2 linked regions of the Alligator mississippiensis genome follow. Each later gene encodes a partner of the first gene's protein in a complex. Links are inferred from orthologs where the notes say so. Each region holds a gene or a part of one and is shown on either strand. Other genes may lie near its edges.

The links. The genes of interacting proteins can lie anywhere in the genome.
Region 2: PPP4R1 (region 1) and PPP4C share a complex: the UniProt entries of both Homo sapiens proteins name them as parts of the PP4 complex. The link is inferred for Alligator mississippiensis from reciprocal best matches to the Homo sapiens genes PPP4R1 and PPP4C.

The regions. Positions count from the first base shown.
Region 1 is NC_081826.1:95,277,768-95,288,375, reverse strand, and holds the start of PPP4R1 (serine/threonine-protein phosphatase 4 regulatory subunit 1), read left to right. Parts: upstream 1-6,606; 5' UTR 6,607-6,829; coding exon 6,830-6,836; intron 6,837-6,971; coding exon 6,972-7,016; intron 7,017-7,159; exon of another isoform or gene 7,160-7,227; intron 7,228-10,608. UniProt on the Homo sapiens protein: Regulatory subunit of serine/threonine-protein phosphatase 4. May play a role in regulation of cell division in renal glomeruli. The PPP4C-PPP4R1 PP4 complex may play a role in dephosphorylation and regulation of HDAC3.
Region 2 is NC_081830.1:229,740-239,587, reverse strand, and holds PPP4C (serine/threonine-protein phosphatase 4 catalytic subunit), read left to right. Parts: upstream 1-5,901; 5' UTR 5,902-6,012; intron 6,013-6,248; 5' UTR 6,249-6,250; coding exon 6,251-6,348; intron 6,349-6,937; coding exon 6,938-6,989; intron 6,990-7,086; coding exon 7,087-7,137; intron 7,138-7,211; coding exon 7,212-7,313; intron 7,314-8,038; coding exon 8,039-8,212; intron 8,213-8,373; coding exon 8,374-8,500; intron 8,501-8,720; coding exon 8,721-8,910; intron 8,911-8,997; coding exon 8,998-9,127; 3' UTR 9,128-9,486; downstream 9,487-9,848. Other genes in the region: ALDOA (fructose-bisphosphate aldolase A), read left to right, coding at 2,837-2,948, 3,091-3,302, 3,481-3,535, 3,651-3,811, 4,010-4,093, 4,254-4,428, 4,671-4,870, 5,000-5,095. UniProt on the Homo sapiens protein: Protein phosphatase that is involved in many processes such as microtubule organization at centrosomes, maturation of spliceosomal snRNPs, apoptosis, DNA repair, tumor necrosis factor (TNF)-alpha signaling, activation of c-Jun N-terminal kinase MAPK8, regulation of histone acetylation, DNA damage checkpoint signaling, NF-kappa-B activation and cell migration.

The DNA of each region.
Region 1 (10,608 bases):
AGATATATATAATGTAGCACATGACAGTAGATACCATACAAGGTTCTTTGGGTAAATTCAATATCTTTTATTAGATCAACTCAAATAGTTGAAAAAATTCTTCTTTGCAAGCTTTTGGGTACAAATACCCTTCATCAAGCTGAGGAAGTGTCTGCAGTTAGTCTGTGCTCTTCCAGGATGGAATAGTAAAAAAGTCAGAAGCCAGTATGTATGCAAGAAAGCCAGTCAGTAAAAATACAAATTGAAGTAGTCAATGGGTGAGAGAGAGGTGAGGGGGATGGGAAAGGGAATGAATACAGCTGATTAAGAGAAGAGAGGTTACCTGGGGAGTCAGATATTAGGCAGGTTATAATGTGTCATAAATCCAATGTCTCTATTTAGTCCATGATTTGTTGTATCCAGTAGGTTGATGAAGTGAAGTTCGTAGGTGTGTCTGTGAAAGGTGTTTTGTAATTTCCCTTTGAGGATTAGAACTGAAAGCTATGAGAGCACTGACAGCATGAATGCCACGAGGCCCTGGAGGCTGGCATGGCATGGCAAGCTCCTGCAGACAGCAGTGGTGCTGTCAGCGGCAGGAGGATGGCAGCAGCGAGTGGCGAGCTCCCACAGGTGGCCATGGCACTGTTGGCAGGGGGGGTGAGTGCTGACCAGTGGTTGGCAACCACCCACAGATGCCACCAGCAGTATTGGCATTGGCCAGCGGTGATTGGGGACTGCCCACAGATGCCACCGGTAGTGTTGGTGGTGATGGGGGGTGGTGAGCAGCAACTGCCAGCAGGCGCTGCTGGCAGCGCTTTTTGCAGGGGGTGCACCACCAATCTCAGGGGGTACACATGCCCCTGCATGTATATATACATGTATGTATATACTATGCATTGCCAATGACTGAGAGGATTAGAACTGAGACCAACAGGCAGAGCCATCCCTAGGGGTATGCAGGGCCCCCATGGGGCATATCAGCCTGTGCGGGGCCTGGGAGGGGGGGGGTGGCGAGCAGCCGGAGCCAGCAGCACTTGGCAGTGGTGGCCGCAGCAGGACCTCTACTGTACTGACTGCAGGGCCCCCCCAAAGCATGGGGTCTGTAGCAGTGGCCCCAATTCGCCCCTCCCAGGGATGGCCGTGTCAACACGGCTACAACCTATACCCCTAGATACCATACTCCCATTTTCCTCATGTATGAAACACCATGTCAAGTGCTCTCCATTTTTGTCTTCTAATTTATACCCCTGCCTTTTCAACATAATAACGTAGTCTTCCATAGATTTATGTACTTTCTAATGAAACCAAGCCCCAAGTTAGTTATTTTTATGGTTTTGCATTTCTGGCATTTGGGAGTAGAGAAAGAAAGATCATTCCAATTCTAGTATAAAATCTATTTGAATGTTTTCATTAGTCCCATGTGTCCTGGCAGCCCCAGGCATATGTGGTCCCACTACACCACTGGTTAAATGATTTGTTGTTGAGCACTTAACATCTCTTTGAAATCTTTTAATCTAATATTAGGAAATGTCTCTTGCTTTTTTTTTTTTTTTAATATCATTTTGATTTCAAAGTCTTGATAACTTTTTTTTAAATGGCAATTGTGATGGACTATGGTGTTCATTGTAATATTTCTGTGTTAACTGTATTCGTATTGTAACAGTGTTGCATGCCTCTGTTTCCCTGTAGCTAACATAGGGGAGAAGGGTGGGGGGAGGTGGGGGAAATGGGTTATAGAGACAGTGAAGCTGGAGTTTTTGGTCTACATGAAAGAAGACACATCCATTGCATCCATCTACAGAGACTCAAATAGCTTTGCTGACATTTTAACAAAGGTGAGGATTACAGATGTCTAGGGGAAACAGGGAAATAAACTTTGGGTTGCATTTGGTCTGCCCAACAAGAGGTAAAGTCCCTCTCTCAGGAGCTAGGTTTCTGAGTCAGGGTTATGGACATAAATGGGAGGGTAAGGAACAAAAAGTCAGCAGGAGTGTCTCAGAATGGGAGAGAGACAGGGCTCCCCCCATGCTTTAGAGGCCACACCTGGTCTGGTTTTGGGATACACTCTGAGACCACACAAAATCCAGGTGGTCCCAAGCAATCACCCCCTGGAGGGCATTCTGTAGTAATAATATCTTTGAAACTGGCAATTCATCACATATCTCAAGACCCATTTTATGTGTCATACACATTAAGTTTTCTGTTCCTTTCCTTATTTGGAGCCAGAGCCCATTGAGATCAGTGGGAGTGTTATCAGATATTTAAGTGGACTGTGGATCAGGCCTTGAAAGACTGAAGATCTAGACTGACATCCCATTCATCGCAGCCAGAAAGTTTAGAAATAGGGCCATCTGGACATCCATATTCAGGAAGCAGAAGCTGGCAGCATATGGTGGCACATTTCCAGATAAAAGTGAGTTTTTCTCCTCCTCTCTTTTCCATGTGTTACTGAAGCAAGATTTTTGGTTATACAGTATTTTCATTTACAGAAGTGGACACTGTTGTGACAGGCTATCATGGGGTACCCAAATCTACACTGATCCAATTTGGGGGGAATTATGTGAGAAAACAGTGCCCCCAAAATGAATTGCTGCAATTTTGGGAACACCCTCCAAGGCTTCTCCACGCTAGGTCACATCATTCTGCTTTTTTACAATTTCAAATGGTTGCCTCCCATTAATTCTGTATTTTGTGGCACTTCCCTGGTGATAATATGGAACCAAGGCCCCCTCTAAACTTCGATTCTCTTTGGTTCCAGTCAGATTCTGATGCATCAAATCCATCATAGCTCTTAAATCATTCAGAACCTTTGGACAAACTTGGTGGTTTGTTCCCCCTGTCTCCATGCTACCCTCTCAGGAGTCACGGACAAGCTCAAGAGGGCCCTTGATCTTCCAGCTATATGAAAGGTCAAATGCAGCAAACCCCATGGACTTCCAATAGGCAAAAGGTATGTAGACCAACATCATATCCCACTTACCTGCCCTCTTAGTTGCATAAATTTGTCACAGTGGCTATAAATAATACATCTACTGCTGGTTGCACATGAGGAGCCATATACCTATTGAAGTAACTTGTTGCAAAAAAACTGAAAATGTAATTAACTTTGCAATGTAAAAACATCCCATTGTATTGTATATCCAGAACATAGCAACAGAAACAGTACTCTTAACAGGAGTACCAAAATCAGGACAACATATTACAAATCTCTCAAAACAGTCATTCTACATTGTTTCCTTGCATAAATAGCAGCTCCCCTATTTAAACATACATTATAGAAAAATTAAATTTCCTAAATACCCTGTAGACTACTTCCCCCCAAAGTGACATAAAAATGCCATGATTAAAAAATAAACACTACTAATGCCCAATTTCGAAAGCAAATGCTCTTAGTGCAATTCCAAATTATAGAAGCTTAAATTAAAATACGCAAATTAATTTTATAAGAATTATAAAAAGGTAATGGATGCATAGTGTTTTGGTATACCTTATTATACTTTTGTAATGGGTTGGAAAAAGGTTCAGAAATAAGCCTCAGGCATGACATGCTTGGTAACCAATCTCTTCTTAACCTTTTGAATTAAAAGTTGTTTAGACGTTATACCGGTGATTCTCAGTCAGGGTACAATGGCATGCCTTGATATCCTTTCAAGCGTGCTACACAATGTTATTACTTCTGTTAATTGCACAAACACAATTCACAAGATAAACCCAGAGATTTCAAATAGGAATCCACAGTGTTAAACCCGTTCCAACCTGCTATGGGCTTTCTGAGTTCTTTGCAACAGAAAAATAGCTTTATTGTTTTTCTGCAGTCAAAAAAATGAGTGAAAACTAAGAGCTGGCATTTTCTGAGGGGCACGTCAAAACTATAAAAGGTTGAGAGCCACCAGTTTAGACACCGGGCTTCCGCAATCCCACAAGCCCAAATTGCTCTAAAGTGGAACAGCACTGAAGACATTTCAAGGTGGCTTTTAAATTGGCACCAGAAGCTCTAGATTATGGGGAGAGGGGAAAAAAAAAAAAAAAAAAAAAAAAAAAAAATCAGCTGACCACCCCACCCTATGGCACAGTGACACCAGCCTTGGAACCATCACCTCCAGGAGCTGGCTCCTTGGGGAGTGACATCACAATGGCGGGATCCACCCGGGAGCATGGCGCAAGTGCACTGCAAATGCACAGCGCTGCTTCCCCAGCCTAGTGAGTCCCCCTGGTCACCACCTCCCCAAACCCTGTGTCTTGGGATGAGATGGGAAGTTGGTTCCCTAGAACCAACCAGCTTCAGCCTCATCACCAGGGATTCTGGTTTTCTCCAGTAAAAAAAAAAATCCCAAATTTTCTGACTCAACCCCCCCCCCCCCCCCCAATCCACATTTTTCTGTGATTAAAACAAAAAACCCTCCCTCTCTCCCTCTCCCTCGGGTCCTCACGGAGGGCCGTGATCTCTGTGAGGCCCTCTCACTGCGCTACTCCAGCCCGAGGGCACCCTCCATTCTCGCCCACCACGTCTTGATGGAATATATGTAATAGGGAGGCTGCCTTGTGTTACCTCGGGCCTGTCAGCTCCTGGACCCCTCGTGGGTCTCCCCGTACAATGGGCGCTACCCAAGTGCCCTAGCCTTATGGGCTATGCGTGGCTCCTACCTCCCCTGATACCACGCCCCAAGCCTCGCAGACGTAAAGGACGTTGTTCGGTCTATATGCCCGCTTCCCAGGCCTCCTCTCTAATGTGGCCCACTCTGGGCTCCCTGTCTCATGCCCAGCCTCTTGCTGGGACTCCCGTCTAGCCCACTCTGGGCCTCCCCACTCTGGGCCTCCCCTGCCAGTGTGGTTCCGCTTCAGGACTTTCTAGCGGGCCTCCGGTCCTATGGGCCAACTGCACGGACACCCTCCCTGACTCTGGCTCCCTGCGCTGCTACTCCCTGTCCTCTCAGGGGCAACCGCAGCACACTGCCTTGGTCTGAGGGGTATTGCCGCACTAGCCTGCGGTCGGGCTCGCTATACCCGTGCGCCCACACTGGGCTACTCAATAAAACCCAATGGCGTTCCCCCTCTCCGGGGCTCGCCACGCCCGCACTGGGCTACTCAATAATGTACAAGGGCATTCCCCCTCTCTGGGGGCTCGCCACGCCCACACTGGGCTCCTCAGTAATACCGCCCCTTTCCTGGGGCCGGGGGCTATGCTCCCCCACACGCAATCCAGGGTCTTGGTCCCCGTCCGCAACCTACGGGTTGCGCCCACAACCCACTGGCCGCGCTCCTCGCCACCAGCTGCTCGTGCAGTGGCGTGCAAGCTGCGCCTTCCCTGGCGCTATACAGGGGGCTATGTTCCCCCACACGCAATCCGGGGTCTAGGTCCCCGTCTGCAACCTACAGGTCGCGCCCGCGACCTACTGGCCGCGCTCCTCGCCGCCAGTTGCTCATATACTGGCGTGCGAGCTGCGCCTTCCCTGGCGCTGTGTAGATAATGCGCCCTCTTGGCGCTAGGGCACCCCACACTCTCTGGGGTCCCTATAGTTGAGGCCTCCTCCAACCCCTACAGCCTCACCCAAGCCTCCGGGTGTAATAACACAAACACAAAGCAAAACCACAAGCCCCTAGGCTGTAACACAAATGCAAGCCGCATGGCCATAACTCCTCATCATAGCTCAAACCTCCAGGGCTATCATGAGCTGTACTTGCGACTTAGGCTCCTTCCCATATCTCGGCTGAGGGAGCTCCTGCCTCCCTGGCTGCTGGCAGAGAACTGCCAGCCTGGCCTCAGCCCTGAGCTTTATAAGGGCCAGGCCCTGCCCCCTACAGGCAGCTGGCTCCGCTTGGTTGCTCCGGCAACCTGCAGCTGCGCTCATTACCTGAGCAGCCTCAGCTGGGCTCGTTATGTCAGGCCAGGGCGCGCTCACTTGCTCCCTGGCAGTTTCTCCACTCTAGGAGCAGGGGCACCGAGGTGCCCTGCGACAATCATATTATCACATTTTTCTGTGATTAAAATGAAACACCACTAATATGTGTGCATATTAGTGGTGTTTCATTTTAATCACGGAAAAATGTGATACATAACATTTTATGTATGTACATATTTTATGTATCACATTAGATGAAAAAGTGAACCACTATACACGCACACACACACACACAGTAGATACTACGATCCCATGCAATCAGTCCCGTGGCGCCACAGGCAGGCGGGAAGTATGTACTCTGTGTGTGTGTGTGTGTGTATATGTATAATATAATGTGATATTTAATACATACATATTATATATGTGTGTGTGCCTGTGTTTAATTTTAATAAGGGAAAAAGGAGAATTTAGTTGTTTTTTTTAATCAGAAAATGTGGGAATTTTTTTAAACGAGAGAAAACCAGGATCCCTGCTCATCACCGCGGGAGAGGCAGGGAGGCACTGGGATGGAGGGGGGTGGGAGCCAGCCCCGTGCCAACGCGGGGCGCAGGGAGGGCCAGTGCCGGCAGAGGGGCGCAGTACCAGGCGCGGGGGGCCGGGCTGAGGCGAGCGGGGCCGACACGGCGCCGGGGGCGGGGGAACGTTGGTGCCGGGGAGGCGGTTGGCGCCGCGAGGTGGGGTGGAGGCGGCTCCGGCGGGGGCGGGGAGGGCCGGCAGCGCCGTGCGCCGCTCCCAGGCGGAGGCGGGGGCAGCGTGTCCGGCCCAGCCCCCTCGCTCCTTCCCTCCCTCCCCGCAGCTGGCTGAGCTCGGGGCTCCCTCGGGGACACCCGCCGGCGCCGCCCGGGCCCGGAGCTGGAGACAGAGCCGCAGGCTCGCAAGGCCGCCCCTCCCCCCCTGCCGCCGCCGCGGCTGCTGAGAGGCAGCCGGAGTCCCGCGGGGGCCGCAGCAAGATGGCGGGTAGGTGCCGGCCCCCTCCCCCCTCGGAGAGCCGGGAGCCCTGGGGGGCCGGGCCAGGCCGGGCGGGGTGGGGCGGGGCTGAGGGAGGACGGGGGCAGCGCGGGCGGGCACTACATTGTGCGCGTCTCCCCGCAGATGTGTCGCTGCTGCAGGAGGACGCGCAGGAGGAGGTGGACGCATGTGAGTACGGCCCGGGCTTTACCCCGGCGCCTGCTTCGGCCCCGCCCTGCACGCAGGCACGCACGCAGCCGCGGGCGGGCCGGAAGCGCGGGGCGCGGGGCGCGGACAGCCGCGGAGGAAGCGCGCGGGGCGGAGGACGAGTGCGGGCGGGGCAGGGGCAGGGCTCGACCCTGGCGAAGCAGCGGGCACGGGTGTCGCTCTCCAGGTTGTGGTATGTGTCCATGTCCTGCATTGCTCCCTGCCTGTCTTAAGCTGCTCCCTGTGTCCGTGGGTTAAACTGCTCCCCGTCTCTGTGTATATCTGTGTGTACATCCGAAGCTGCCCCTCTGTCCCCATGCCTCCCCTTGTGTGCGGTGTGTCCCTTACGCCCCTCCCCATGTGTGCACGTCCCCTACACCCCCTCTGTGTTTGTGTGTGCACGTGTCCCCTATGTCTCCATGTGTGTGCGTGCGTGTGCACGCGTGTCCCCTATGCCCCTTCCTGTATGTGTGCATGGGTGTGTGTCTCCTCTGTATGCATACACGTGTCCCCTATGCCCCTCTGCGTGTGCGCACGTGTCCCCTACACCTGTGTGTGCGTGCATGTGTGCACGTGTCCCCCACACCCCTCCCTGTGTGTGTGCATGGGCGTGTGTCCCCCATGCCCCTCCCCGTTTGTGTGGGTGTGGCTGCCCCCCCCCCCCCCTTCTTGCCCCGCAGGAGCCAGGGTGTTTGGGATTCACCAGCTGGGCATGTGGGTTGTGCTGGTTGCATGAGGCTCCTTGGGCTCTTAAACTCTGAGGAAGCTGGAGTCTGTTTCCCGTGCACTTGCCCAGGATAACCGCGTTATTCAGTTCTCCGTAACAGCCTGACGCCAGCATGAGGACGTGGTGAGATTAGGATGAGGCTAAGACTTGCAGAGGACTGACCCCATTCAGAAACTGAGGACCTTTGTGTAAAGGATCTAGGGAGCAAGCAAGGAGAAACCCTAGGAAAGCCTGTTGTGTCTGTGACCTCATCCAAGATGTGTTTTTTTTACTCCCTGAAGGGTTTTTTTCCCCCTTTAAATTGCTTTCTTCTTTGTTAATGAAAATGCTTGCAATGAGGGAGAATGAATCTGGCGTTGTGGCAGTATAGTAGAAAGATGGATGTAGAATTCTGTATTAGCAACAGAAAGGGTGTTCGTTTTAGGTAAAGAAACTCTGTGCAGTGACGGGTAGTTTGTGGTATTAGATGTGACAGAAAGTACCTCATCGTATAAATAAGTATTCTGAAATTCTAGCTATAGAGGAGAGCTGGAAACAGAACAAAGGTGATATCAAATGCTAACTATAAGGTAGGGATGAAGAAACATGGCTCTTTTATGTGGCTTCTGTTTTAGATGTCAGTCCTGCACTCTGCTGAGGCATGCCTGTGCTCCTATCTGGAGACTGATAGTCAGTGTCTGTTTGCAGCCTATGTGCCGCCATAAAATTCTTTATGGAGGTACGAGAACTGAGTGAACAGACATCATAGCCCTTTGTTGGGCCAAAAGTGCTTAAATTTTGTGGCACCAACAAGGGTACTAACAATTTGTGCTGCCTTTTTGCGTGACATCTGTTTACTTATGGCAGGAGACTGTGGGCTGGCAGAATAACCTCTGATGCATGTGTGCAAGTGTGAAGGGCTTCTCCTACCTGCACATTATAGTGGGGGTATTATGCCCCTAGCTCTGCAGATGTGGAGAGGGGAATTTCTAGGAGTTCTGCCCTCTTCTTGCACATGGCCTTGGTGCCTGGTACCTTTTTTTGTTGGTGCCCCTGGGTTGGGGTGCTCCCTGCAACCAGAAGAGGGAACACCAGGGAAATTCTCCCCCCCATGCTTTGCAGACACAAGCTGGGGGAATCCCCTCCTGAAGGGCTCCCCTGCATCCCAACATGGGGGCGAATTTACAAGTTGGGGCTTCCCCCCTTGTAAATGCATACCCGAACTCAGTGCTCGTTTCTTCCAGGATTGGGTCCTTGAAGCCCTGGGAGTGGCAGGATATGGACTGTGGACAGCGACAGGTCTGACAGTGTCTGTTAGATGTCTCTGAAGTGGATTAGCTGTGCTCCAAAGAGGATGTCTGTTTCCAGCCATTGACAGGTCGAAGGGGTGTCTCCCTGTGAGCAGATTGTGGCTTTAGTTTGGTTTGAAATAGTCTTTAAGGAATCTAAAACTAATAGCAGTTCATCTGTTAAATTGGTCAAAATTCAAGTGAAAACAAACACTTTTAAGCAGCATTCCCCCACTTCAGTGATAGTGATCCAGTGTTTCAGCCTTGTATCCTGTGTTCAGATTTTTCATGGTGGACTAGCATGAGAGAGTTATCTCTTGTAAGGTTTCTTAACTATCTTTTCATTCAGTTTGACCAGATTTCAGATTTATAGCATATCTTTAATTTGTGTAACAGCTCTATATGAATGGGCAAAGATATCTCTTAGTCTTCCTTGTAACATTTTCCTTGAACGTAAAAGTCAGAACATAAATAAAGGAGATTACTGATAGAACATATATATGTTATAGCCGCCCTACACACACACAGTCTGATTCTTTGTTCTTAGCCTCCCAAAAATAGATGGAACATTATGGAAAGGAAAAAATTATGGTAAAAATCAAAGTCATCTACATACTTGGTTGTAGGTTGTGAAGATTAGATGAATGCTGCCCTAGGCTAGAATTATGAAAGAAGCAGGCAAAGGACTTTAAAGGACCTCACCGGAAGAGAGTGAAGCTTTTTATAAATGAAATAAAAATGAACAATTCAACACACACAATTATTTTCTAGAAAAGGTAAGGAACTGGACAAAAAGCAGACTAAAACTTAATGCAGGGAACAGTTCTGTATTGTTGAGGAATTAGATTAGATGACCTTAAAGCTCTTATTTTTCAGCTGCGTTTCCAGCAGCAGGCTTGGGAATAGGCTCTGGGAAGTTTTAAAAAAATCTTAGGATGTATTGGCACATTCTTGGGTATAAAAAAGTCTTTTGAATATACTCATACGTGTAATTCTGTCAAATATGGTCTTGCAGTTAGCCTAAATTTTTGCAAGGGCAGACAATGCAACTGTGTATGTATTATTCCTTGTAGTGCAGGCATAATTTTAGGAACGTTGGTATAATTGGATGTACTTGTATTATATCTGTCTAAAAAATGTATATTTGAAATAAGATCAGTTGACTGTGTATCTTGGAAACAATAACCCAGAGTTTGAATAATCCTTTGACATTAGACTAATTACAGAAAAACAACCAAATTTCAAGCCTTGCCTACAATGCTGACAAATATGTTCTCAGTGAAAAGGAAGAAGTTGTGAAATGTAGCTGAGAACTGGCTTCACTTTCTAAAGTACTTTATTTTTTTAAAGGGGAAGATGACTGCCTAAATGTCATGCAATATTCAGTAGATTGTGTTTTAATCCAAATGATCTACTAGGGCAGGGGTGTCCAACCTTTTTGAATGTGGGGCTGGATCATGAACTTTTTATCATCCAGTGGGCCAGCGAGCTACATTCAAAGACCTCACAGGAAGCGGTATCACATCAGGAAGAGATGTCATGTGACCTTTGACACCAATGAAGTTGCAGGGGTTGTCAT
Region 2 (9,848 bases), on another chromosome or scaffold:
TCGACACCACCGGCAGCGTCTGTGGGTGCTCGTGGATCACTGTTGGCCGCCACCAGCATCTGCAAGTGATCGCTGACTGCTGGTCACCACTCACCCCCACCCCTCCACTGCCATCACCACCGCGGCCACCTGTGGGAGCTCCCTGCCACCATGCCCCTGCCACCTGCAGGCAGTGGCCGTGCCCCTCCAGCCTCTGGGCATGCGTCATTGATGCCAGAGATCATGCAGTATAATACAAGAAAGAGTTGCTAATCGCCCTCGATCATATGTTAATTAACGGTCCACGCATGCCTGCTTGCCCCTCTGGCTGGGGTGGTGGGGGGAGGATGCCGGCTTCACCCACAGGCTTGCCAGGATCCTTGTACATTGGGCTGGGGGGGAGGGGGAACAAGCATTTGACCACCAATAACAGCCCACCCTGCAAGTCTTTCCAGTAATGCCATGACTCCATCTACGGCCCCACCCAACAAAGCAGCCCCAGGCATGCTCCTCAGGTCTGGCAACCCACCCCACACAGGCCTGATTAGCCATGCCAGTCTGCCTAGGACACGCATATACACGGACAAAAAAAATTGCAAGACTTTTATTAACAGAAAATGCAGTATATTTTATCAAAATTAAGAGACAAACTAAGAAAAAGTATTTAAATTAAAAAAGAGAATAATTAAAGTACGGAGAATTATATATAAATAATCATACTAAAGCTATCTATCTATAGCAATCTATAAAACTTTAGCTATACAAAATAGCTATAGAAAATCTAAAAAGTACCTGTACGCTGGTTCTTCTTTGTTCTCTCCTTCGTTGGTCGGAGGCTTGCTGCGCTGTTCTGAGGGGGGGAGGAAAGGAGACATGAAACCGGGCCCGGTGGATATGTTGCTCGGGGGCGTCCGCCTGGACTATCCTCTGGCAAGGTTGGAAAAGAGAAATGTTCAATGAAGTCATAGGGTAGGGGCAGCAAACTCAACGCTTTGCAGACTTGCCATTGTGGCGATGCCGAGGTGCTGGGACCCCGCGGGCACCCCGGGAGCGCACACATTACGGGCAGCGGGTAAAGGACTAGCAAGGGGCGCTGAACTACCCCCGCTGCACAGCGCTGGGGGGCTGCTCTTGCTCGGCCCCTTTCCTCCTCGCGTATATTTATATTAATAAGAGTATTACAGCTTGGAAGACCAGGTTCTCTGCGTGGATCTGACATCTTTCATTAGACCCACTTAAATAGTTGGAAAAACTTGTAAGCAAGCTTTCGGGTTTAACAACTCTTGGTCAGGCTGAGGAAGATCTGCACGTGTGCCGGCCTGAGGAAGGGCTTTTAAGCCCGGAAGCTGGCTTTAAAGTTCTTCCAGCTATTTAAGTGGGTCTAAGGAAAGACACGGGATTCACGCAGAGACCCTCGTCTGCCCGTCCTTAGCCAGCACGGCTACCACCTCCCCCGCGCGGCTTGGCCGCACTTGGAAGCCGGCGCCTGGCTCAACCGCGGCCGGGGGGTGACGGGGAGCAGCGCCGCCCGCCGCCGGAGAAGCAGTCGCCCGTCCCGGGAAGCGCCGCCTGTGCGACCGGCCGCCGGGTCCTCCACCAGCGCCCGGCTTGCCGTGCCGCGGGGGCCTGCGCGCCGCCCGCTCCCGGGCTGCCCCGGCCCGTGGGGAAGGCCGTGCTTCCCCGGCCGCCCCACGCAGCCCGCCCGCCCGCCCGCCGCGGGCTGTGCACGAGCCGCCCCCCTGAATGTCAGGGGCGTCGAGTTTCTCCCGGGGCTATTTTTAGCGGCAGCTGTGAAAGGGCAGGGGTCGCCGAGAAGGTCAGAGCCCCCCCGGGCGGCCCCGCCCCCTCCGCCCGGCCTCATATAAGGGGGTCGCCCGCAGCCCCCGCACCGGCCGCCCGGCACTGCCACCAGACCCTGCCCCGCCCGCCCGCCCGCCAGGTGAGGGGCGGCCCACGGCGGGGCTCGGGCTCGTGCTCGGGCACGGGGGGGCGGGCAGGAGGGCCCTGTCTGCAGGGCGCTGGGGCGGTGTCCAGGGGGGTTGGGGCGGACGTGGGGCAGCGCCGGGGCGGCCTGGGGCCGCGGGGCAGGCGCCATAGCGGGGCTGTAGGTGGGGGCGTTGCGGGGCGGCGGGGGCACGGGGCCGGGGCGGCGGGGGCAGGCCGCGAGCGCGGGCCCCGCGGCGCCCTTGGCGGGGATCGGGTTTCCCCCGCAAAGGTCAGCGCGAAACCCACGCGCGGCGGGCCGGGGGGTGCAGTGACGCAACCCCAGAGCCTCCCAGGCCCCGCCCCCGGGACGTCACTGCGCGGGCGGGGCACGGCGTGGGGGAGCCCCAGGGCAGCCCCGGGGGCAGCAGGGGCGTGGCCCCCCGGCCGCGCCCGCGCGTGACGTCGGCGCGGCGCCCCGCCCCCAGCCCCTAGCCCGCCGCAGCCCCACGCGGCAGCGCAGTCGATCCCGCCGCCGCCGCTGCCGCAGGTTGGCTTGGGGGGGGCGTCGGGCCGGGGGGGCTTCGGGCCGGGGGGGGGGCGTCGGGGTGGGGGGAAGCGCCGGGGGGGCGCTGCTGGGCCGGGCGCCTGGCTCCCTGCCCCCCCCGCCCTTGGAGCGACCTTGACTCCCGGCACCGCCGCGCGGAGCTCGGGCACGCGGGCCCGGGGGCTGCCATCGCCCCCCCTCCCGCCCCGGCCCCCTCGGTCCCGCCCGCGCCCCGGGCACACGACCCCCCCGGACACTTGCCCCCACCCGCGGCCACGACCCCCCCCCGACGCCCGGGTCCCGCCCAGGGGGGGCCGGAAGCGGCCATGCGGAAGGCCGCGCGCCGCACGTCCCGCGCGTAACCCCTGCGCTCCCGCAGCCGCCAAGATGCCGCACCCGCACCCGGCCCTGACGCCCGAGCAGAAGAAGGAGCTGGCGGACATCGCCCACCGCATCGTGGCGCCCGGCAAGGGCATCCTGGCCGCCGATGAGTCCACCGGTGCGGGGCGGGAGTGCAGGGCACGGGGGGGGGGCTGCGGGGCGGGAGTGTGGGGCACGGGGGGGGGGGGCTGCGGGGCGGGAGTGGGAGGCACGGGGCACTGCAGGGCCCCCTGTGTTAACCCCCACCCGCCCCCCTGCAGGCAGCATCGCCAAGCGCCTGAGCTCCATCGGGGCAGAGAACACCGAGGAGAACCGGCGCTGGTACCGGCAGCTGCTCTTCACGGCCGACGCGCGCGTGGATCCCTGCATTGGCGGCGTCATCCTCTTCCACGAGACCCTCTACCAGAAGGCCGACGATGGGCGCACCTTCCCCCAGGTCATCAAGGCCAAGGGCGGCGTTGTTGGTATCAAGGTAGGCCCCCGGGGGGGTGGGCAAGGTGGTCATGGGGACTATTGGGGGGGGGGGAGGGGGCCGGGGTTGGAGGTCTCAGGAGGCTTTTACCTTGAACCTGGTAGTTGGGGTGCAGGAGTGAGGAGTGGAGGCCAGGGGTCGGGGCAGTACTGATGAGGTTCCCTCTCCCCCACCGCAGGTGGACAAGGGCGTGGTGGCCCTGGCCGGGACCGATGGGGAGACCACCACCCAAGGTGAGTGCCTGGACACCAGGGTCTCGGGGCTGGGAGTGGTTGCATCTGGCAGGACAGGCATGTCTGCGGGGTTTTCCCCAAATGCCTGGGTCCTGAGCCTCATCCCCCTCCCCAGGCCTGGACGGGCTTTCTGAGCGCTGTGCCCAGTACAAGAAGGATGGGGCCGACTTCGCCAAGTGGCGCTGCGTGCTCAAGATCGGGCCCCACACGCCCTCACGCCTCGCCATCCTGGAGAATGCCAATGTGCTGGCCCGCTACGCCAGCATCTGCCAGCAGGTGGCCGTGGGGCAGGGCTGGGGGCAGGGCTACTTCCTCTCCCAGGAGCTAGCAGGGGGTGGGGCTAAGACTGAGGGCAGAGCCAGAAGGGCACAGGCAGCATCTGCCAGCAGGTGGGGCTAGAGGGGCTGTAGGTGGGGCTGGGGGTTGGGGTCAGGGCTAACAGGCTCATCCCGACCTCCCCCCATGTCCTTCTAGAACGGCATTGTGCCCATCGTGGAGCCCGAGATCCTCCCCGATGGCGACCATGACCTGAAGCGCTGCCAGCACGTCACCGAGAAGGTGAGAGGGGTCACTGCAGTGAGGGGGCACTTACCAGAGGCTGGGAGGTGGGAGATCTTTGGGGGGTGTGGCCAGAAGGAGCCCCGCCTCTTGGAGGAGCTGGAGGGAAGATGCAGCAGTGGATGTGGGTGGTGTGCTGACCAGTCCTGCCCCCCCCCAGGTGCTGGCGGCTGTGTACAAGGCGCTGAGTGACCACCATGTCTACCTGGAGGGGTCACTGCTGAAGCCCAACATGGTGACACCTGGGCACGCCTGCACCACCAAGTACAGCCATGAGGAGATCGCCATGGCTACCATCACCGCGCTGCGCCGCACCGTGCCACCTGCTGTGCCCGGTGAGACCTGGGCCTGCCCCTGGCTTCACCCCCTGTGGCCCTGCTCCCTATCTCACCCCTGACAGCCATGCTCTGGGCATGCAAGCCAGGGTAGGGGAGGCTCCACCATCTCCTTGACTCCACCCCCTTGCCCATTAACCCCCTGGGTGCTGTGCCTATGCCCAGGGTCCCCTGCTCCAGCCCAGCCTGTTAACCCCGCGAGCACTGTGTCACGCCGGCACTGACTCCCTCCCCCTTCACAGGTATCACCTTCCTGTCCGGGGGGCAGAGCGAGGAGGAGGCGTCTCTGAACCTCAATGCCATCAACAAGTGCCCCCTGCACAAGCCCTGGGCCCTGACCTTCTCCTACGGGCGGGCGCTGCAGGCTTCAGCCCTCAAGGCCTGGGGCGGCAAGAAGGAGAACACCAAGGCGGCCCAGGAGGAGTACGTCAAGCGCGCTCTGGTGCGTACTGACCTGGCCCGCGGCGGGGGGAGAGTGACCTCTGACTTGCAGAGGGGGTGGGGGAGGGGAGCCTGGACGCTGGGTTTTTTGTGCTGCTCTGACCTGTCTTGTCTGTCCGTCTCTCTGCAGGCCAACAGCCTCGCCTGCCAGGGCAAGTACGCCGGCAGCGGCCAGGCCGGTGCTGCCTCCAAGGAGTCTCTCTTCGTTTCCAACCATGCCTACTAGGCTGCGGCTCCACCCTGCCTGCCCCCCGCCCCTCCCCCATCCCCTTCCCAACTTGGGCTGCAACTATATTCACCTGGACCCGACTGGGGCAGAGACCAGCGGGCACAAGAACCCCGGCCTCCGGGCGGCCCCTCCCCCCCTCCCCCTCCCCCTGGTGAGCAACACTTCCGGCTCCCGCCCCCCCTCCAGCTGCCCGGTCTCCGGGTGGGGGCGGGCGAGGCCCTAACTACACTGAGTTACTGAATAAAATGAATTCATGAAGATATGTGTCCTGTGCTCCTGGGCCTCGGGGGTGCGGGTTTCGGGGGTCTAGGCCGTGGGCCCCTCTGGCCCCCAGGAGGGGAAAGGAGCCAGGGTGGGGGGGGGGCAGGGTTCTGGCCTGTGTCCCCCACACGTGACCGCAGCAGAGGGAATGCATGTCCCTGCCCGAGTAGCCTGTCCTGGCACAGGCCCCTGCTTGCTGACGTCACATGCTCGGCCTAGGGCACAGGAATCCACGCTCGGGTGACATCACCTTCGCCCATCCCTCGCTCCCCTTCCCCGCCACTTCCGCCCCGTGACGGGTGCCTGGGTAGCACTTCCGCCCTGGCTCTGATGTCATTCATCATGCGCCCCCTCATTTCCCGTGGCATTTCGGCTCTACACGTCAGTTCCGCCCGGCCCTACACTTCATTCTGGCTGTTTGCGTAGCATACGCTTTTACCGTTACTTCCGCCCTCACCGTGACGTCGCTTCCTGTCCCTCACCTTTTCTTTCTTCCCTTAGACGTCCCAAATGCGTCACTTCCCGCCCGTCTCTCAGGCCTTCCTCCTTCCGGTTGTGGAGGAAGGGGGGTGTCCGGACGTGACGTCGCGCCGGCGGGGGCGGGGCCACGAGCGGTGGGAACCGGTGCGACGCGGGGCCGCCGCCGGGACCAGGTGCGGGGGGGGGGGGTGGTGCATATGCTGGCGTCGCAGCGGCAAGGATCCGGGCCGGGGGGGGTGCAGTTCCGGGGCCCCCGGGGCGGGTCAGGCTGTGGGGGCCGGTTCCGGGGGCAGCTTGGGCCAGCGTGGCCTGGGGGCAGCTCCTGGGTAGCGTGCGGGGCCGGGGGTGCTTGTGGGGCCCTGCGCGGGGGCCCGGGCCGCGCTCACCCCGACCCCGCGTTGCCCCCCAGCCATGGCGGAGCTGAGCGACCTGGACCGGCAGATCGAGCAGCTGCGGCGCTGCGAGCTCATCAAGGAGAGCGAGGTCAAGGCCCTGTGCGCCAAGGCCCGGTGAGCGGGGCGGCAGGGCTGGGGGCGCCGCGTAAGGGGGATCCTGCATCGCAGCCGCCTCTGGGGAGCCCGCACCGGGGCTCGGGTCAAGAGCTCGCGCAGTGCGGCTGGCTCTGGGGGGCCCGGCTGCTGTCTGCATAGAACAGAGCTCTGGGGCGGCAGGACGGGCCCCGCGGGGCGCTGGCTGTGGGGGACACGGGGGCAGGACGGGCCCCGCGGGGCGCTGGCTGTGGGGGACACGGGGGCAGGACGGGCCCCGCGGGGCGCTGGCTGTGGGGGACACGGGGGCAGGACGGGCCCCGCGGGGCGCTGGCTGTGGGGGACACGGGGGCAGGACGGGCCCCGCGGGGCGCTGGCTGTGGGGGACACGGGGGCAGGACGGGCCCCGCGGGGCGCTGGCTGTGGGGGACACGGGGGCAGGACGGGCCCCGCGGGGCGCTGGCTGTGGGGGACACGGGGGCAGGACGGGCCCCGCGGGGCGCTGGCTCTGGGGGACACGGGGGCAGGACGGGCCCCGCGGGGCGCTGGCTCTGGGGGACACGGGGGCAAAGGCCATGAATAACTGGTGTCCCTGCCTCTCCCTGCCTAGGGAGATCCTGGTGGAGGAGAGCAACGTGCAGCGGGTGGACTCCCCAGTGACGGTGAGCGGGGCTTGGGCAGGGGTCCCTGGGCCAGGAGGGTCTAGGCCAGAGGGCATCAGGGCTGCCCTGTCTCACCCCCCCCCCTTGCCCCCCCCAGGTCTGCGGTGACATCCACGGACAGTTTTATGACCTCAAAGAGCTCTTCCGGGTGAGTCCTGCCCCCCACAAACTCCACCCTGCCCCCCCCACTGCAGGCCCCCCCTTACCCCTGCTGCCCCCCAGGTGGGCGGCGACGTCCCCGAGACCAACTACCTCTTCATGGGGGATTTTGTGGACCGCGGCTTCTACAGCGTCGAGACCTTCCTGCTCCTGCTGGCGCTCAAGGTAGATGCCCCCAGCCCCCCCAGGGCACTGGGCACACAACTGGGGTTGGCATGCTCTGGGGCAGGGCGGCTGCAGGGGGTAGCTGGCAGGGGAGGCTTGGGGGACGGATGCAGCCGGCTCTGGGCTGGGCCCCACTGGGGACAGGAAGACTTGTGCCCTCAGGCTGGAGCTGGCTCTAGGGTGTCACAGGCACTGAGGCGGCTGGGCCTGGGGTTGAAGCATCCTGTGGCAGCAGCCAGGTACCACAGGGGCCAGCGTTGCAGCTACCTCTGGGGCCTGGTGTTTAAGTGGCCAAGTATAAGAGGCCTGGGCGGTGCAGCTGGTTTTGTGGGGGTGTGGGTGAAGCCGGGTATAATAGGGCTGAACAGTGCTGCGGGCTGTAGGGTGGGATGTTATACTTGGCCCCTGACGCATCCCACCCCAGATCCAGCTACAGCACTTGGGCCTGTTATACTCAGCTGCTGACTTGCTCTACCCTAGAGTCAGCTGCATTGTTCAGCTCTCCTGTACTCATCTGCTGTCAGCCGGTTTTGGAGTGGGACATACTGGCAGCTGACTACAATGCGTCCCACCCTAGAACCAGCTGCCTGCAGGCCTGAGCACTGCAGATGGCTCTGGGTGGGGCACGTTGGTAGCCGAGTGTAACAGGCTGCAGAAAGCAGCCAGCTCTGGGGTGGGATGTGCTGGTGGCCAAGTGTAAACCCCCCCCCCCATGGCCTCCACAGGTGCGGTACCCAGACCGGATCACGCTGATCCGCGGCAACCATGAGAGCCGGCAGATCACGCAGGTCTATGGCTTCTATGATGAGTGTCTGCGCAAGTACGGCTCCGTCACTGTGTGGCGCTACTGCACCGAGATCTTCGACTACCTCAGCCTCTCAGCCATCATCGACGGCAAGGTGCCCCACCCCGCTCCCAGAGACCTGGGTTCCCTGTGGGGGAAGAGCAGGGGGCTGAACAGTGGGAGCCTGGACACTTGGGTTTTCCAGCGGGCAATGGTTTAGCCTCTGGTCTGGGATTCCCCTGCCTGACCCATGCCCCCTCTTCCCTGCCCTCTCAGATCTTCTGCGTGCATGGGGGACTGTCGCCCTCGATCCAGACGCTGGACCAGATCCGCACAATCGACCGCAAGCAGGAGGTGCCCCACGACGGCCCCATGTGTGACCTGCTCTGGTCTGACCCTGAAGGTACAATGGAGGGGGCAGCAATGCAGCCAGCTCTGGGGTGGGGCAGATGGGAACAGCAGGCTGTGATGCTGCCCAAGAGGGCTTGGTCAGCCCAGTGATGCGAGCAGCTTGCAGGTGGGTGGTGCTGGCAGCTGGCTGTAACAGCACCCTGCCATGCAGCTGGCTCTGGGGTGGGTGGTGCTAGTGGCCACACATAACGGGCCTTGTCCCTGCCTTGCAGACACGACGGGCTGGGGCGTGAGCCCGCGGGGGGCCGGCTACCTGTTTGGCAGTGATGTGGTGGCCCAGTTCAACGCATCCAACGACATCGACATGATCTGCCGAGCACACCAGCTCGTCATGGAGGGTTACAAGTGGCATTTCAATGAGACTGTGCTCACAGTCTGGTCGGCCCCCAACTACTGCTACAGGTGGGGCAGGGGCACCGCCAGGGGGCTGCGGGTTGGGAGCAAGGGGCACCAGCATGTGACCTGTGACCCCCCCCCCCCCCCCCACAGGTGCGGGAATGTGGCTGCCATCTTGGAGCTGGACGAGCACCTGCAGAAGGAGTTCATCATTTTTGAAGCTGCCCCCCAGGAGACGAGGGGGATCCCCTCCAAGAAGCCTGTGGCTGACTACTTCCTGTGACCCCCCACTTCCTGTAACCCCCCTGCCCACCATCTCCCTGGGGGTGCCCCCCTCTGGCTGTATGGGGGGAAGGGCTTCTCTCGGGGTTAGGGGTCCCGCTGGCGGCCCCAGGACCAGGGGCACTCAGGCCCTGCTGCTCTGGGGGTTCGTGGGGGCCGTAGCTGCTTCCCCTGGGGCCCCCAGCCCTGCCCCCCTGGCTTCTCCACGAAGCTTTTTTTGTTATTGTTCCTGTTTTTATTTCTTTGGTTTTTTTTCCTGTTCGTTTTAGATACAAAAAGAAAAACTTCCTTAAAAACCAAATAAAAATGGAAAAATGAAAAGAATAAAAAAACGACATTTGTAGAAAGGTTGAAACCCCACCTCTGCCTCTTCTTGGACCTAGGCGTCGGTGCTCTCCGCCCCGCCCCCGAGGATCCTGCGGCCGGGCCTCACCCGGTGTCTCCGCTGCCCCCTGGCGTCCAGACCTGGTGCTGCGCACGCGCAGGACACTCCTGGGGCCTCTGCTGCCCCCTGGCGTTCACTCACCTCTGCCGCCCTCGGGCTGGTTAGGTGCATGCGCAGGAAGACTCCCCGACCCCGCCTCTCAGGCTAGTCCGCGCATGCGTTGAAGGTTCGTTCCATCGGGCCCCCGCGCAGCTCCCGCCTCAGGCTTGTGCGCATGTGCAAAAACTCGCTAAGGTGAGCGCTACCCATGCGCGAATCGCACCCCCACCTGCCCGGG